3 linked regions of the Saccharomyces cerevisiae S288C genome follow. The protein of the gene in region 2 binds, or shares a complex with, the protein of the main gene of each other region. Each region holds a gene or a part of one and is shown on either strand. Other genes may lie near its edges. A codon is read from its position in the direction of its gene.

Region 1 (3,234 bases), on a different chromosome or scaffold from region 2:
GGGTTCTGTCCTTTGCAGCTGATTTGCAACTCGGCCAGCAATTCAAGAACATTTCGTAGTAAGCTGCTTTCAATTATATGCATATATACTCTGTATACAATTTTCAATTTTGAATTAAGTTCCACGGCTGAACGAGAAAAAGATACCTGAACACGCTACCTAACAAAATCCATTCCTTGTTTCTCTTCCCACTCCTTCAGCGCATTTTCCCACTCATCTTCTTCATTCACATCAACAGCTTTATTTTGCAATTCTTGTTCTTTTAACAACGCCGTACGTTTTTCTTCTTCTTCTTTATCATACTTCTCTTTATTGTCTATCCACCTGTCTTGAATGTCGTAATTCGCTATTAATGCACCTTCTCGCGAAGCCTCAGCCCACACGGTATCACCACCAACTTCGGATGCGCCGAATATGTAGCCATTTGCTTTATCTATAACACCTTGAAGATTTATCATACTTTCTTTGTCATCCACGGACAAAACCTCAAATGATACTAAGTTGAAATCTGAGACTAGCTCTTTGATTGTTTCAGTTAACTTGCTATATTTCTTTCCCAGTACACTAGAGCCTTCCTTTTCAATATATGGCTCCAAATAATCCAGATCCTGGACCTCTGTATAATAGTCTAATCTAAAGGGTAATTCTCCGTATGATTTCAGCATATCTATTTTAGAAAAAACGTTGATGTGAGGGAGATCCATCATTAACATAGACCTCAATGCAAGTAACAAAATCGAGATATATTGTGAAGGGGATGTCATGTAAAAACAGTCAATCAAATTTACAACACAAAACCTAATGTCCAATTCCTTTTCCATTTTTTTAAAGATGTTGAACAAAGATGAGTGATGAGTAAATAGCTCCACTTGGCCCGGACAGTCGAATACAAGATATGCTTTTTCTTCTTCTACAAGTGACTTGATCTGTAAAATGAACAAATCAATAGAATTATCCAATGATTCAACAGCATACATCAAACCTCCATTAGGGCCTAACTGTTGCTCTTGCATGATCTCCTCTAATGTTATAAAATCACGAATATCCACAGCGCATGGGTAAGGTAAGGCATCATTAGCAGGATCCATATTCACTACCTGGGAATGTCTTCCGATGGCATTGAAGAACTGTGAGCAGCCGTTGCAATAGGTTGACTTCCCTGAACCTGGTGGACCAATAACAATCTGAGCGAAGGGCATTATTGTACTCTCTAGTAGAAAATCAAAACTATTGACACAACAACAATCAAATGAAAACAAACCATTCTATTACGGTAAGTAGTGAAGACTCACAATGCAATCTTTCAATGAGCATCACTTACTTTAAGTAGCAATATTCCTAATCACTTATTACGAAATTTGATTTTACTAAAGTTCGGGGATACCTCAGTGGCAAATCGTTACTCAAGTTGCACGTAACGTAGAATCTACAATGAAATAATTGTGAAGCCAACAGCTAAGCAATCTATAGTGTAACGTTGGCTTTCTGTACAACTGCTACTGATTGAGGGCATTTTTCGAATTTAAAAAAAGAAAGAAAGAAAGGAAAATCAAATTACAATGTCTCTACAACACGAGAAAGTTACCATTGCACCACTAGTTTTGCTATCTGCTTTGGATCATTATGAGCGTACGCAGACAAAAGAAAACAAAAGATGCGTTGGTGTCATCTTAGGTGATGCTAACAGTTCCACTATCAGAGTCACTAATTCCTTTGCCTTACCGTTTGAAGAAGATGAGAAAAACTCTGACGTGTGGTTTTTAGACCATAATTATATTGAAAACATGAATGAAATGTGTAAAAAGATTAATGCCAAGGAAAAACTCATTGGATGGTATCATAGTGGTCCTAAATTAAGGGCTTCTGACCTCAAGATTAATGAGCTGTTTAAAAAATATACTCAGAATAATCCGCTATTATTAATTGTTGATGTCAAACAACAAGGTGTTGGTTTACCAACAGATGCATATGTCGCGATTGAGCAAGTTAAGGATGATGGTACGTCTACAGAAAAGACGTTTCTTCATTTGCCTTGTACTATTGAGGCCGAAGAAGCTGAAGAAATTGGTGTAGAACACTTATTGAGAGACGTACGTGATCAAGCAGCAGGTGGCTTATCTATCCGGTTGACCAACCAATTAAAATCTTTGAAAGGATTACAAAGCAAACTAAAAGACGTTGTCGAGTACTTAGACAAAGTCATTAATAAGGAATTACCGATAAACCACACTATATTGGGCAAGCTACAAGATGTTTTCAACCTTTTACCAAATCTGGGAACACCTGATGATGACGAAATAGATGTGGAGAATCATGACAGAATTAATATTTCAAATAACTTACAAAAGGCTTTAACTGTGAAAACTAATGATGAATTAATGGTTATATATATAAGCAATTTGGTTAGGTCAATTATCGCGTTTGATGATTTGATTGAAAACAAAATTCAAAATAAAAAAATTCAAGAACAAAGAGTAAAGGACAAACAATCAAAAGTCTCTGATGACAGTGAGAGTGAGAGTGGTGACAAAGAAGCAACTGCGCCATTGATCCAACGAAAGAACAAGAAAAATTAATTCAAAAATTAACATAACATAATATATGAAATAGATGTGTAAAACGCTATGTATTAATACAACATGTTAATTTGCTTAAGCATAATTATGTTCTGTTGAATTTCAAATATAAATGCATAATATCGCCTCTATTCTCGTCCACTTACTTACTTGGTCTCTATTAAAGAGACTGAAGGAATATACATAAGTTTATATTAACGCTCAAATAATCCGTCATCTTCGTACTCGTACTCGTCGGTATATTCACTATCATCAGAATCTTCATCGCTTCTATCATCACTGTCAGTTTCTTCGGCGATTTCACTTTCTCCAGCAATAACACTATCATCATATATTAACTCGTCCTCCTCATCTTCATCCAAATAAACGTTGGCCAGTGTTTCACCTTTAAAGTTATTTTTAGGCTCCACAACATAATGGCCTTCGATATAACAATTGCTGAGTTTACACTTTGAACCGATTTTTGCCATAGGTCCAATAATACAATTTTCCAGGATTACTTCGTCACCAAGATGGACTCCAGGAAATAAGAGAGACCCTGCAACACGACATCTGGAACCAATATTGGCCTGAGTACCGAGAACAGACATCTTGACATTACTATGAGCAGAGATTTGGCATTTGGGATCTACTATGGCATCAGCACCGATAGCGGCAG
Region 2 (3,891 bases):
TATGATTTTCAATATTTGGAGATAATGGATCTAATATCATGAGTCAAAATGAAAGGAAAAATGTTCGAAGAAAGTATAGGCTAAAGTGACATAAGTTAATCGAAAAAAAAATATTCAAAGTTTAATTCTTGTTTACTAAATGAAAAAAATATTTCACTGTTTAAAGATATGTCTATAGGTGTAGTAATTAATGTTCAGAGTTTTGCTAATCAAACGAAAAAATGACTCTTTACGCTGCTATTAATGTCATTTAAATACCATAAACAGTTTACCGTTTTGACTTTTCACTTTTTTTTTGGGTGTCTTCTTTCCCCTGAAAAATTGAAAAACTAAAATTCCATTAATTGTCACCTTATGTTTTGTGTAAGCAAGTGAAGAGAATGAGAGCAATACGTGGCCATTTTCCATTTGAGTTATATATATGCATAGATAATTTTATCTCACGTACGTAAATACACATTTCGATTAGTAACAGATTTAAAATCAAAACCGGATCTGAGATAATCCGACACTTACTCGAAAATCTCTTCATTTAGCTTGCAAACCGTGCATGATTTCCTCTTTTGTAATTAAATGGCCTATTGTTTCTATATGTTCTAATAGTTCGTCAACATTATGTGACCATTCGTTCAATAATTGGCTTGAGTTTTTTGGTTTTTCAAAATTCACGATTTTGGCTGGGCGATTAACTTTAGCGTATATGATGCCCTGGTTTACCAAATCACTGATGTATGTTTCCGTCTGGCTCTCCGTTAGGTCCAGCAATTCATTCAATCTTAGTAAAGTAATTCTGGAATAGTATTCGGAAATGACTCTTAAATTGTGCTCGATGACCCTTTTTTGTAAATCTTCCCAGTGATGCTTATTAGCTTCTCCACCAAATGCCAAATCATCCTCATTTAAGACGGGCTCATAGGTTTTTTGAACAATTGGCCATCTCATCAACTCATTCGTAGTAAACAATTTTACTAAAGATTCTTGGCTTTCTAATTTTTTCAGGTTGTTATCATTCTGGATTTTGTGAATTAAATCATTTTGTAAATTGCCGTAAGGTGAAAGGACTAAGAAATATACAATGTGCGATAAAACAGGTTTCCACTTAGCCTCATCTGATTTAATGGCGTCTGTTTGATAAATTTCTTGCAGATACTGCGCAACTTCTAGGTATTCTCTCTTGTGCAAACTAATTTTTACCAGAAGATTATAATATTCTAGCTTCAATGACTCGTATTTTGGATTTTTAAAAGTTTTTTTCAGAATTTTTCTTGAAAGCACCGTGGCTTGGGAATAATCACCTTTTAATATACTCAATTCCATTTGCTCTAATATAAACTGAATTTTCTCAGACATTTCCATGGAGCCATAGGTCTCAACCTGTAACTCACACAAGATGTCTGCAGCTTCATCAATCTTACCCTCTTCTTTCTTAATTTCCACCAAATCTTTGGTGACCCTAGCTCTTTCCACTTCTACAAATATTTTGTTCTCTGTAACCACCCTGATAGTTTCAATGACACTAATTCTGGTGTTTAAATCCAAAGATTTCGAGCTTTTCAAATATTCCATAACCTTTTGTATCATATACTGAATTGACAATTTCAACTGACCATGCTTTTTTGAGAGTAGAGTCAATTGCTCATTTAGGTCGTCCCACTTATTCCTTGATGCTAGCAGATCTACAATCTTGGCCAAAACTTCTTTCGAGGAGGCCAGATCTGAAGCTTGTCTGGTTTTCTTCTCCAACACTAACAGTTGGTCTAAAGCAGAGTTACAATCATTTTGAGCGAGCGAATCGATCTTAGGAAACTCTTCCTTCAAAATTTGGCTATAATCCTTGTCAGCCTTAATTGGTGCATCTCTTGACATCTTTCTCTACGTTTACTCTAGCAACAAAAATGGTAGTGAGCCCAGCAGTATATTCCTCTACTCTCTTAATTCAAGATTATCTCTGATGTAGTGTCCTGTTATGGTTTTTCCTTGGATTCCCCTTTGCATTTTGCCACCGAAAAGTCAAAAAGATCACATACAAGACGGGTAATATTGGGGCGATGAGCCGTACAGAACGAGTGAAAAATTTTAGGATTTATTAGGAATAATAATGATAATTTAGAGATGAGCATTTAGCGAGAAGCATCTGAAGGTTGCACTAATTATTACTGTAAATAGTACAGTTGAGAAGCAAATAAAAGGGAAGATCAAATACATGGCCGGTTCACAACTTAAGAATTTAAAGGCCGCCTTGAAGGCCCGTGGACTCACAGGTCAAACAAACGTCAAAAGTAAGAATAAAAAGAATTCCAAAAGACAAGCGAAGGAGTATGATCGTGAAGAAAAAAAAAAGGCCATTGCTGAAATCAGAGAAGAGTTTAATCCGTTTGAAATAAAGGCTGCAAGGAATAAGAGGAGAGATGGTCTGCCTTCTAAAACTGCTGATCGTATTGCTGTGGGTAAGCCTGGTATCTCTAAACAGATCGGTGAAGAACAAAGAAAGCGTGCATTTGAAGCAAGAAAAATGATGAAGAATAAACGTGGTGGTGTGATCGATAAGAGATTTGGTGAAAGAGACAAGTTGTTGACGGAAGAAGAAAAAATGTTGGAACGTTTCACCAGAGAAAGACAAAGCCAATCAAAGAGAAACGCAAATTTATTCAATCTTGAAGACGATGAAGACGACGGTGACATGTTTGGAGACGGTCTTACACATTTAGGTCAATCGCTGTCCCTAGAAGATGAGCTTGCCAATGATGAAGAGGATTTTTTAGCTTCCAAACGATTCAATGAAGATGATGCTGAGCTACAGCAACCTCAAAGAAAAAAAACCAAAGCTGAAGTCATGAAAGAGGTCATTGCCAAATCAAAATTTTACAAACAAGAAAGACAAAAGGCTCAAGGTATAATGGAAGATCAAATAGATAATCTGGATGATAATTTCGAGGATGTTATGTCTGAATTGATGATGACGCAACCCAAGAAGAATCCAATGGAACCTAAGACCGATCTAGATAAGGAGTATGATATCAAAGTGAAAGAACTACAATTGGACAAAAGAGCTGCACCCTCTGATAGAACTAAAACTGAAGAGGAGAAAAACGCTGAAGCTGAAGAAAAAAAACGGGAGTTGGAACAACAGCGTCTTGATCGTATGAACGGTATGATTGAATTAGAAGAAGGCGAAGAAAGAGGAGTAGAGGATTTGGATGATGGATTCTGGGAAAATGAAGAAGACTATGAAGACGATAATGACGGTATTGCTGATTCTGATGATGATATCAAATTTGAAGATCAAGGCAGAGATGAAGGGTTTTCTCAAATTTTAAAGAAAAAGAACATTTCCATTTCATGCCCTAGAACTCATGATGCGTTATTAGATCAAGTAAAAAAATTAGACTTAGATGATCATCCTAAGATTGTTAAGAATATTATCAAAGCTTACCAACCAAAATTGGCTGAAGGTAATAAGGAAAAGTTAGGAAAATTCACCGCTGTTTTACTGAGACACATCATTTTTCTAAGCAATCAAAACTACCTTAAAAACGTTCAAAGTTTTAAACGTACACAAAATGCATTGATCTCAATTCTAAAATCCCTTTCAGAGAAATATAATAGAGAGCTTTCCGAGGAGTGTAGAGATTATATCAATGAAATGCAAGCACGCTATAAAAAGAACCATTTTGATGCTCTATCAAATGGTGATCTGGTATTTTTTTCCATTATTGGTATTCTTTTCTCCACCTCGGACCAGTACCATTTAGTAATAACTCCAGCATTGATTTTAATGAGCCAGTTCCTGGAACAAATCAAGTTTAATTCTTTAAAGAGGATAGCTTTTGGCGCTGTCTTGGTAAGGATTGTTTCACAATATCAACGCATTTCCAAACGGTACATACCGGA
Region 3 (3,475 bases), 1.1 Mb from region 2:
GAACATTAATATGGTGGGACATTCCGTTGGAGCTACCTTTATTTGGCAGATATTAGCTGCACTCAAAGATCCTCAAGAAAAAATGAGTGAAGCGCAATTGCAAATGTTGGGACTTTTGCAGATCGTGAAGAGAGTATTTCTATTGGATGGTATATACTCGTTAAAGGAACTGTTGGTAGAATACCCAGAGTATGATTGTTTTACAAGACTTGCCTTCCCTGATGGTATTCAAATGTACGAGGAAGAGCCCTCGAGAGTAATGCCTTACGTGAAGAAAGCCCTTTCTCGCTTCAGTATTGATATGCACCTAGTGCATTCTTATAGCGACGAGTTATTAACGTTAAGACAAACTAATTGTTTAATTTCTTGTCTTCAGGATTATCAGTTAAGTTTCAAGTTGTATTTGGACGATTTGGGTTTGCATAATGATGTTTATAAGAATGGTAAAGTTGCGAAGTATATTTTTGACAATATTTGTTGATAGTTGATTTTATTTCTGCATTTATATATATGTGTGCGTGTGTGTTTTATATATAACTGCCAATGGCCTAAACCCAGATGGATTGGCCACGAGCTTCCATTTTTTTGCCCAGTTTTTCTACTTGATCGTTCCATTCAACCAGTCTGTCCTTCATCTTTGTAATTTGGTCACCACTTATGATTCTTGGTTGGACCCAGGAGATGGTAACGAGTTCATTTACTTGGTCAATAGAACCCTTTAATAGACCCAAACTTATGGCTCTCATGACCAGGTGTTCGACATTATCCTTTGGTAGGTGTGTAGCCTTTGAAATATCTTCAAATGAAAGCATCCTAATATTTTTGACAAAAACTGTTTCAATTAATGTCATTAGGCAAATTTTTTGTCGTAAAAATGATTCATGTTGAGCCAATATAGGAATCTTTGATATTTGAACTTTTATCAATGAGTCGAATTTATCAAAATCACCAACGGTTAGAGCATTTAATAATTGGAAAAGCCAATCGTAATTGGAATCGTTGACTATAGTTTCCATTATTGGATGGTGTAATAGTTCGCCAAAATTATAGATTTTGTCACCTAACAATGCTGAGATACTCAAATCATAGGCCAATTGTTGACGTTCGGCTAAAGTAATGCTTGTAGATGGTTCTAAGGTAGAAAGGTATAATAGACTTGTGTAGTAGAAAGAATTGAAATCATTTTTAAATTTAAAATACTGGGAATTTGTAGAATAGAAGCTGTTTGTTATCCTTAATGGAATGGAATCCTTTTTATCCAATGTCTTTTCCAAATCATCTAATAAATCTCTTGCCTTAACGAGGTCGTTCTTTAACAGGTAAGTTCTAGCAATTTCGCTATCTATCAACAAAATACCATCACCATGGTCTTTTGATCCATTATTTCTTTGTTTTTTAGAGTCCAATTCTTGAAATTGAGCCTTCAAATCATCCAAATATTTTAAAGACTCATCGAAATCCTTAGAATCCTTCAAAGAGGCAAGTAGATACTTTACTACTGACAATTGGTTGATTTTATCATAAAATTTAGAAACGAAGTTATCATATAATCTGAGCCTCAATGGTGTAGATTTAGCATCATCAAAAAATTTAGTCAAGGATTCGGACAATTGGAACCACAATTTCTCTTCATAAAATTTCTCAAATTGTTCGAATAAAGGATGCAAAGAGGGATCTGCCTCCATGCGGAGAGTGCTTAATATGGTGTCAATTTCATGATTATTAAACATCTTGCGAAATATAATGTGGTTTCCTCGCGTGTGCCCACTGTTTGCTTTTTGGTACTTAATAGTTTCTTCAATCTAGGTCTAGCTTTTATTTGTTCTTACTTTTGCCACCGGATGAAAGCGGGGAGCGGGTAAGAATGAAAATGATAATAATAGGATAAATGAATGTGTGTATTCAAATTTTTCTAACGTATACGTTATATGTATATATATATATATATATATGTATATGCTATTTGCAACACGATGCGTGACGGTAATGCTTTTTATAGGGCCTCGTCGATTTGTAACTTTGCCAGTTTCCAATTCTTCAGACATTCTTTGATCCATGCTTTGAAGCTAGCTGCGAAAAGTTTCAAGATCTTTCCAATGGTCAAATTAATATGGTTATATGTATGCATTAAGCTGTTGTATGACGAATTGTTAATTTCTAGCATGTCTGATATACAGATTGATAGACAATCTTTCAATTTGGATAAATCTTGGTTCAACTGTTTGATCTGTTTAGATCTTTCTTGTTCAGTCAATTGTTTGATTTCTAATTTATTGAGATTCATTGTTGGCGTAGACGTTTTATAGTTTAGTTTACTTGCGCCTATATGAATTTCGTTTTGGTGTCCACTGGAGCTTGAATTTGAACTTGACTTCGATAGCGATCTTACGTCCTTTTTAACAAATGTCAGGTCAGCAGCCTTTGTATCTTTGTAATTTTCATCTGTCAATATAGTCGACCGCGTTAAACTTTCATTAATCTTCTGCAGTTGGTTTTCAATCTCAGTGAGACTCGAAAGTTTCGTTTCTTTTTCGATAATTAGCCTCTCTAATATTTTAAATTGCAAAAACTTTAATTTCTTGAAATTTAGAACTTTGAATGACTCATTTAAGAACTGCAATAACTCATTAATGGGGTCCTCAAGAATAGAGGTGTACTTTTCTATTAAGATCTCGGAAGAAATGTATATAACATCGAATGAATGGCCTGTCTTTTCAATATGACTAATAATTTCCATCATTGGGTTGTTTGAATTGTTTTCAGATTCGCGAAGGCTGTTGGGCATGGTTATGTCATTTTCCAAACTAAAAGCATTATAATATGCGCCTAATTCAGCAAAATACGTGGACAAGGAGTGGAAATGAGATTTATTTGATCTTATGTTTTTTAATAAATGGGTGATTATTCGCTTATAATTTTGGAATAAATTTTCAATATGTGTAAATTGAGATTCGTTTTGTAAAATTTCTGTTGGGAGGTTGGAAATTTCATTATGACTTTTTACTGTGATGTGTTGTTGCCAAATCGAATTATAGTTTCTCAGAGACGAGTTGGATGGAATAGGTAAAATAGAATGAAGGGGGCTTGGTTTTGTTGGGCTTAAAGGTGGAGCTAAAAGGTTATTCAAAGGTAGTATGATTATCGGCGACGAACTTAAAACATCTTTCCAATTAAATTCAGGGTTTAGAAATTTTTGAAAAACAATATCGTTGCTTATTTCTTGAATGTTCAGACAGTTAGACAAGAATGAATTGAGCATTTTCTTCCTGGTGGAGATAATTTTGGAATCATTTGCTGCGTTTATGGGACTCCATATGTATTTGAGAAGAGAATGCTTGGATGGAATGGGTGGAATAATTATCGTAGGAAGGAGTCTAGTTAGAGATTGCCTCAAAGAATGAAATTCAGAGTACCTTCTGATAATCTTGTTGTTTTCATATAGAATTACGTAACCGATAGCGTGTTTCCCCCATGG

Evidence for each region.
Region 1: the proteins of RPN5 (region 2) and RPN8 are in contact, whole or in part, in a cryo-EM structure (PDB 3J47), measured with the Saccharomyces cerevisiae proteins. Residues at the interface, in NP_010134.1 of Saccharomyces cerevisiae: Ser409 (codon at 642), Gln410 (codon at 639), Leu411 (codon at 636), Leu412 (codon at 633), Asn413 (codon at 630), Glu414 (codon at 627), Trp415 (codon at 624), Asn418 (codon at 615), Glu421 (codon at 606), Leu422 (codon at 603), His425 (codon at 594), Ile426 (codon at 591), Glu427 (codon at 588), Thr428 (codon at 585), Ile429 (codon at 582), Gly430 (codon at 579), His431 (codon at 576), Leu432 (codon at 573), Ile433 (codon at 570), Glu436 (codon at 561), His440 (codon at 549); in NP_014904.3 of Saccharomyces cerevisiae: Gly199 (codon at 2,154), Lys203 (codon at 2,166), Asp206 (codon at 2,175), Glu209 (codon at 2,184), Tyr210 (codon at 2,187), Lys213 (codon at 2,196), Thr224 (codon at 2,229), Ile225 (codon at 2,232), Leu226 (codon at 2,235), Lys228 (codon at 2,241), Leu229 (codon at 2,244), Asp231 (codon at 2,250), Val232 (codon at 2,253), Phe233 (codon at 2,256), Leu235 (codon at 2,262), Leu265 (codon at 2,352), Val267 (codon at 2,358), Lys268 (codon at 2,361), Thr269 (codon at 2,364), Glu272 (codon at 2,373).
Region 3: the proteins of RPN5 (region 2) and RPN9 are in contact, whole or in part, in a cryo-EM structure (PDB 5MPE), measured with the Saccharomyces cerevisiae proteins. Residues at the interface, in NP_010134.1 of Saccharomyces cerevisiae: Asn306 (codon at 951), Glu307 (codon at 948), Leu308 (codon at 945), Arg310 (codon at 939), Ile353 (codon at 810), Tyr356 (codon at 801), Tyr357 (codon at 798), Ser358 (codon at 795), Arg359 (codon at 792), Ile360 (codon at 789), Thr361 (codon at 786), Arg364 (codon at 777), Ile399 (codon at 672); in NP_010715.3 of Saccharomyces cerevisiae: Asp322 (codon at 767), Glu325 (codon at 758), His326 (codon at 755), Met329 (codon at 746), Arg330 (codon at 743), Ile332 (codon at 737), Ser333 (codon at 734), Gly339 (codon at 716), Ser340 (codon at 713), Ile341 (codon at 710), Asp342 (codon at 707), Gln343 (codon at 704), Val344 (codon at 701).

What each region holds. Positions count from the first base shown.
Region 1 is NC_001147.6:815,257-818,490, reverse strand, and holds RPN8 (proteasome regulatory particle lid subunit RPN8), read left to right. Parts: upstream 1-1,559; coding exon 1,560-2,576; downstream 2,577-3,234. Other genes in the region: GTPase GPN2, read right to left, coding at 156-1,199; GCD1 (translation initiation factor eIF2B subunit gamma), read right to left, coding at 2,771-3,234. UniProt on the Saccharomyces cerevisiae protein: Acts as a regulatory subunit of the 26S proteasome which is involved in the ATP-dependent degradation of ubiquitinated proteins.
Region 2 is NC_001136.10:188,899-192,789, reverse strand, and holds RPN5 (proteasome regulatory particle lid subunit RPN5), read right to left. Parts: upstream 1,867-3,891; coding exon 529-1,866; downstream 1-528. Other genes in the region: LDB17 (Ldb17p), read right to left, coding at 1-40; snoRNA-binding rRNA-processing protein NOP14, read left to right, coding at 2,204-3,891. UniProt on the Saccharomyces cerevisiae protein: Acts as a regulatory subunit of the 26S proteasome which is involved in the ATP-dependent degradation of ubiquitinated proteins.
Region 3 is NC_001136.10:1,320,460-1,323,934, reverse strand, and holds RPN9 (proteasome regulatory particle lid subunit RPN9), read right to left. Parts: upstream 1,731-3,475; coding exon 549-1,730; downstream 1-548. Other genes in the region: BNA7 (arylformamidase), read left to right, coding at 1-481; SNX41 (Snx41p), read right to left, coding at 1,994-3,475. UniProt on the Saccharomyces cerevisiae protein: Acts as a regulatory subunit of the 26S proteasome which is involved in the ATP-dependent degradation of ubiquitinated proteins.